Linked DNA regions of Caenorhabditis elegans. The protein of the gene in region 1 interacts with the protein of each later gene in a biochemical or structural test. Each region holds a gene or a part of one and is shown on either strand. Other genes may lie near its edges.

Region 1 (3,514 bases):
AGAAAAGAGTTGAGCACAGATAGAGAAAAAGAGAGGGATTTGTTGAATTTAGATTTGGAACAATTGAAATAGTGAAAAACTGTTTTGCAAGTTCACAAGTATCCTGAAATTCATTCGTAGAAAATCTACATAGAGAATTGTCACTTTACTTTTGCAAATTTACAAAAACTGTCCTGTTGCGCTAAAACGGTAAAAACTGTAATGCCGCAGAGTAGAGGTCTCATTTGCAGTGATTTAATACATTTTCCATTTTTCATAATTTTCATTCTATTTAGAGACACTTCACTTTCAAACAACAAGGTTGCAACGGTGAATCTCTATATTTATAGAGATTTGTCATTCCATTCCCCGTAGATGGACTTTTCCCGTTTTTTTAGGTCAAGAGAAAACGGAGCACTATACTGCGGATTTGATGTTGTGTTAAAGGATTTGAGAAGTCTAGTTCTTCTGATTATTTCCTGATTTTGGCCGTTTCAAATTGGTCACACTCTTCCAATAAGCCTGTGGATGTACAAAGACTTTTATTCATTTTTATTCATTCAAAAGAATGACAAGAAAATTAATAAAAAGTGAAATGAATTTAACATTTCAAGAAAAAGGAAATTATGAAAAGTTGGTGACTGGTCCCCACAGTTGAAGATTGTAGATCAGCGCTGAAAAATAAAAAGTTAGTTTTTGAATAAAATCAAAAAAAGCTCGAACACTTACATTTTAAAGGAATTAGAAAATTTAATCAGACTCTCCAGCCATCAACTCCCAGAACTCCTCGAACTCAATCTTTCCGGAACCGTCCTCGTCAATCTCGTCGACAGCCTCCTCGAGTTGTTGATCGGTGAGGTCATCGGCGATTTCTTTGAGAAGAGCCTTCAGAGTTGGTCGAGAAATATATCCGTTACCCTGAAAAATTAATAATTAAAGAATAAAAAGCAAAATCTAAAAGTACAAACCTCCTTGTCGAAAAGACGGAAAGCTTCACGAAGTTCTTTCTCCAATGTTTCCTTGTCGACAGTGTTTGCAACGGTGTACACGAGAGCGCAGAACTCGTCAAACTCGAGCTTTCCGGAACCGTCAGCGTCGAACTTGCGGATCAGTTTACGAAGGGTCTAAAAGAATGAAGTTAGATGCCACATAGATTTAGAAAAATCAAAATCATCAATTCTATAACTAAATTTCATAACATATAGTTATATCTTACTTTAGTCGACATAATAAATGCTTTTGTTCAGATGGAATATCAAAATTAATTATTTCACAAACATTAGTAACATGTTTTAGTGGCGAAAATTAATTGAATTCAGTTGAGAAACAAGCCGCAGAAGATAGGTCGGATAAAAACAAAATTTTAGGCAAGAGTAACCCATTTATATTTTCGGTTATCTTACTCAGTTGGCCTACCTAATCATTACCGTGAAACCTAAATTTAAAAGAGTTGAAAACTTCCTAATTTGAATTATCACTCTTCTGAAGATCCCCTAACTCTACATAAACCAAAAGTTCCAAAATGATTTACCTTCTCATCGAAATCCTGTTCCATTCCATGCATGATTTGACCGATCTGAGTGGCCATGATGTATCCTTGCTTTCCTCTGTCGAAGGCATCGAAGAACTTTTGGTATTCTAGAAAGTTTTAATGATGATTTTTCAATCATAAATATAAAATATCTTACCCTCAATTTGGGATCCGTCGATTTCAGCAAGAATCTCTTCGATATCCTCAGCCTATAAAAGTATAAACATATAAAAATTCAAAAAGAAATTTATTGAAGACATGAGAAAGCGGGACTCACCATGTTGTCGGAGTTTGTTGTGCTCTGGATAAGCTTCGTCGGGCAGAAGCAACGGCGGGAGCGAGTAGGCGGAGGAACCCGAGGGCGGGCTTTTCTTTCTCACAACGGCATCATCGTCTCCTCCACAAAACACATTCTTGGTGTTACACTGGGTGACAGATGCTCCTGATCAACGGGCATGAGAGATCATAGAGGGCGAAGAGACGCAGAATGATATCTGTGTGGAAGTTGACGATGATTTTTGCGAAACACAGGATTCGAGAGACAAGGCTCTCCGAGAAGGAAGGGGAAACGGGAGGAGAGTACGAAGAAAGATTGGGGGGACAGGCAACCAAGGATCAATAAAAGTCCAGGAAATAGAAAAAAAATAATATAATTGGAGTAGAATTAAGTACAGAAATGGAGTTGACAGGCAATATATGTAATTGAACTTTCCCAGAATACTTGGATTCTTAGCTGTACATGGTGACCAGAACATCTAGCCTTTTTGGGCTTCAGAACACAACAACGTTTTTTTTTCAGTTTTTTTAAATGTGCACTGAGTATGTATATCTTTACAGTTTTATATCAAACGTTTAATTTGAATACTATTTTATAATTCTCAAGTTTCTCCAGTAACTTTTTATCGCGTGACACACCATTTTGAATTTAAACTTTATGTTTTTCCAATTCAGTTTAGTCGAGGGGGAGGAGGTAGATTTCTAATCATTCTTATTTATCATTTGACACTAAATTTCCGGATTTCAAAAGGAAACCATAATCGTGAGTTTGGAGCTAACAAGTAACTTCGGAAAACGTTATTTCTTTTGAAGAAGAATGTCGAAGAAAAAAGTGCAGAATACGAACAAAAAGATGAAAGAATGTTGGCTGACACCGATCCCACAGAATGTGGAAACTGTAAATATGACAGTTTCATTCAAGATTGATGAAAAAGATGTCGGAAAGCCTGCGAATGAAGTTATTAGAATTAATGAGAATTCGATGGTTTCTTTCCTATCAACAAACTCGTTTTACAATGGATTGATATTGAGTAAGTTTCCAACGGCCGGATAACCCGAAACTATTTTGAAGCGGGCCAACTTCATAACAGAATCTTGCAACTTCTTACAAACCATTATTTACTTTAGTTTTCTAACAAATTTCTGCAGCTTTTCAGATGACTCTTGCAATTTCTTTTGGCAAACTTTATGAAACATTTCGCTTAGAACTGCTCCGGTTTTTGCAACTTTGTAACATCTCTTGGCAATTGTTTATAAATGTTTGTTTCAAGTTGCAAGAGTTTGCTATGAAGTTGTGATGTTTTGCCGAACAAATGTATATTTATCCCCGATAAAATAATAGGCAAAAATTGGTTTGACTGGTACAAGGGTTTCAAAACTCTTCTGTCCACAATTATACATTTTGAGCCAGGAAAAGTCAATTTTCCTCGGAAGACTCCCTAGTTTCTTTTCCACTTTACACTTTTCCAATTAATGTATTAAACCAGTTTAAAAAACTAGATTAAAAATACTTTTCTTTCAGGCGACAAAATAGTCAAGGTGAACGGTGCCAGTGGAAATATATCCAAGTATCAGACAGAGCTCATGAAAGGTGAAACATGTAGTGTTGAGGTTACAAGACGGAAAAATATTATCCCAGCGACCAGAGAACGGTTGAAGAAATCGGGATGTGTTTTGAGACGGGACAATACGTGCTTTGTTATTGAAGTTGAAAAGGTATAATTGAAG
Region 2 (3,437 bases), on another chromosome or scaffold:
TAGTACAGTACTTTTGGAAAACTATTGACTTTTCATTGAAATGTGCTCTCCTGTTTGCTTTTCCAAGCTATCAACTTCCCTTGATTTTCTCCATAGATCACGATAATCTTCAAATTTACTGCAGCATTGTATCATAACAGCTAAACTGTGAATATGAATATTGCTGATTAAGTTCTGCACAATTAAAAGAGATATTTTCATGTATCAATTTTCAACAGATGGAAACTTGATCGAAATTTTGAAATTGCAAGAACAGTTTTTTTGGCGTCTGTGGTGTTGAATGTTGTGAGTGTTTCAAAATTGTGTCAAAAATATTTGAAATACTTTTTGAAACGTTATCTGACAAATGAGTTTGTCAAAGCGTCCCAAAATTATTCGCACTATTCTTAGAGCCCAGGAGAGTGATCCTCTCATGTTTTCCTCCCACGTTCTCCTTCACTTATCACTTTTAACCAGACACTCCCTACTACACTTCACACTTCCTTCTCATATTTCTTCAAGGATTCAAACACACAAGTCTGACCACCAAGATTTTATTAGCACACACGTTGTTGACATTTAAATTTCCGGGACCCATCGAAGGAAGAATAAAATGGTAAAAAAGTATTTTACAAACTACAGAATATTGATGTTGGCATATTTTTTTTTGGGGAGGGGGGTTGTTCGGTTTGATGACGTCGATTTGGATGATGTTGAGCAGGATTGAAGTGATGGATTTAGGAGTTTACTCCTCCTCCTCCTCCTCTCCTTCCTCTTCCTCTGCAAGTTTTCAGTTATCGAGAAAATCTAAATCATTTTTGACAAACCGGCTTCTGGCTCAGCCTCGGCTTCCTCTGCAACTGGCTCAGCTTCTGGAGCAACGGCAGCTGGAGCGGAGTCTTCGGCCTTGGCATCCTTGTTCTTCTTGGACCAATCTGGCTTGTCGTCCTTCTTCTTCTGAAATTGAAATATTTGTTTATCAAAATTCTCGAACATTGCAGATAAAACTTACAACATTGACGATGGCCTCCATAACGTCCTTCTTGACAATCTTGAGGTTGGCACGGAAGTCTTCCTTGGTTCCGGCCTTGCTCTCACCGCTCTTCTTGAACTTGTTGTCGTACTTCGACACCTTCTTGAGTGAAGGCTTGACGCTGAAAAATAAAAAGTAAAATCAATACTTTGGATGATTTTACATATATGGGAAATTCATCAAAAACTGATAAAAACTCACAACTTTCCACGAAGATCGTTGACCTCAATAGTGAGGGAGTTGATCTCAGCCTCAGTCTGGGAGACGACGTAGTTGATGTCGTACTTCTCCTCCTCGAGCTGGGTAAGACGAGCCCAGAGGTCATTGTAGATCTTCTCGAGTTGTCCCTTATCATCAATGGAGTCAACATTTGGAAGTGAGATGGTTCTGTCAGCAAGAGCCTTTTGTCTTTCTTGCTCCTTAAGCAATTGTTGTCTCTTAAGATCCTCGGCGGCCTTGACCATCAAAAGCTTCTGAAATCAAAAATAAGTTAAACATTTAAGTGTTCCAAAAACACAACTTACACGAAGCTTCTTCTTACGCTCTGGTGTCAAGAATCCCTTCTTGGCCTTCTTCTTGTTTCCGGCCTCTTCGAGACGCTTGCGCACCTCGGCCTTCTTGGCCTCGCGCTCGGCAGCTTTGCGCTGGGCGTCCTCTCCGGCTTCTTCACTCATCTGAAATTTTAGTTTGGGGTACAAGTATCACAAAACAGAAGATTAAATTCACAAAATGAATAATTTTTGAATGAGCATAAAACAAATTAGCGGCGAGCCTGATCATGCATCCGAAGGCCTTGTGAATTGAAATCTGAAGTATCCTGCCAATAGATGTCGCAACTCGTGAGAGGTACCTAGAGTTGGCAACAGCCGCCCCACAAACCGCCCGCCCTCCAATTCTGTATCTTTGGGTCTCTCGGACAATGCCATACAGACAGATGCTCTTTCCAACACGTCTCCCGCTTGTTGTAATGATTCTTGCCTACCAATTGCGTTGGCCGAGATTGATTGAAGACAAGCGAGAGATAGGGATAGAGCTGTGGCAACTTCAGTGGAAAAAACCAACGGAACGCGGCAAGAAGATATTGGTTTCAGATGGGGCAGTGGGTCAAGTTATGAGCTATTCGGTGAATGGGGCTCCGAACAATTTATGAAGCTAGTCTGTAGTTTTTCTGTATTTTCAAAAAGAAGATATGTGATCAAAAATCAAAATCGTACTACTAAAAATACCTAAACAATTTTTAAAATAACATACTGATTTTTCAACGGTGTCACTGAGTTCATCAATTCGATTGCTTTTTTGTAGTTGTGACATGGCTCGCTAGTGAGATCTGTAAATATTTGTTGGATAAATTGTTTCAAAAGTGAATTGGAACATGACATTTTTCATCAGAATCAAGAATAATTTTATTTATTTTTTCACAGTGTTTTGTTTTCAACCATTTCTCTTTCAGTTCCATAATTTCATGCTGTCACGTAGGATTTGAGTAGGTCAGAAAACAAAAAAACCTAAAAAAAAATTGACAAGCTGACAAGTGTGACGTGTGGAAAAATACAATAAAAATAGTCACGGTGGCCGGTGAGACTCTCTTGAAATTCAATATGTTAGGGACCATGAGTTGAAAGTGTTGCGAGGTGTGGGCAGATGTTTGAGATTTGTGATAAGTGATAAAGAAAAAAGATAGCGGGGATAATGAAATTGGGTATGCAAATCATCATTAGTTATCACAAAAAGTTGAATATTATTACTTTCAAATTGAATTTATCAGTTGTTATCATAAAGTAGTTATTTTTGACAAGACTATAAAATAAGTGAATCTAAATCATTAAAAAAATCACACATTCAAAAATCAGATCACAACGAGAAAAATCTACATTTTCCAACAATGGTAAATAACAACCCGAAACTTGTAAATAAATTCCAATTCCCTGTAACTATTTTCACACCCATTTTAGTTTATGGAGTAGTGATGGATTAAACCGATCTATTGTCCTGTTTATTTTTAACACTTTTTTCCATAAACATTCACATTCTTATCTTGAATTGTTTTCAACTGTGTTATCACGCTTTTCTGCCAATCTCCGAATAGTTTACACTGTTTTCTTCTGATGCGGCAAGCTCTATCTTTCTTTTGATACATTGTTCATTGCAACGAGTATATAGAGAAAGAGAAACATCGGAAGAAGATACAGAAAAATAGCTGATGGAGGCGATGATGATGTTTTGGTTAAAAACGTTGAGCAGTAGTGGGGGCACAAGTGTTACGAAATATTATTATACATGAGCGGTTGTCATATGGGTAAATTAATTGGCACTACCGAACTTTTACAGCTTACAATTTTTTACTTTTAGAAAATTATTTCTTGATTGCTATCAAGGAATAATTTTCATTAGAAGTAGTGTCCTCAGTGAGGTATAACTAATAATG

Evidence for each region.
Region 2: the proteins of pat-10 (region 1) and unc-27 interact in far-western blotting, tested with the Caenorhabditis elegans proteins (2 studies listed by BioGRID).

Annotation. Positions count from the first base shown.
Region 1 is NC_003279.8:5,018,274-5,021,787, forward strand, and holds pat-10 (EF-hand domain-containing protein), read right to left. Parts: upstream 1,814-3,514; 5' UTR 1,791-1,813; coding exon 1,788-1,790; intron 1,720-1,787; coding exon 1,668-1,719; intron 1,618-1,667; coding exon 1,511-1,617; intron 1,104-1,510; coding exon 948-1,103; intron 898-947; coding exon 730-897; 3' UTR 709-729; intron 654-708; 3' UTR 510-653; downstream 1-509. Other genes in the region: C46H11.6 (PDZ domain-containing protein), read left to right, coding at 2,604-2,817, 3,309-3,502.
Region 2 is NC_003284.9:8,787,705-8,791,141, reverse strand, and holds unc-27 (Troponin I 2), read right to left. Parts: upstream 1,687-3,437; coding exon 1,537-1,686; intron 1,486-1,536; coding exon 1,214-1,485; intron 1,134-1,213; coding exon 992-1,133; intron 937-991; coding exon 807-936; intron 760-806; coding exon 725-759; 3' UTR 521-724; downstream 1-520.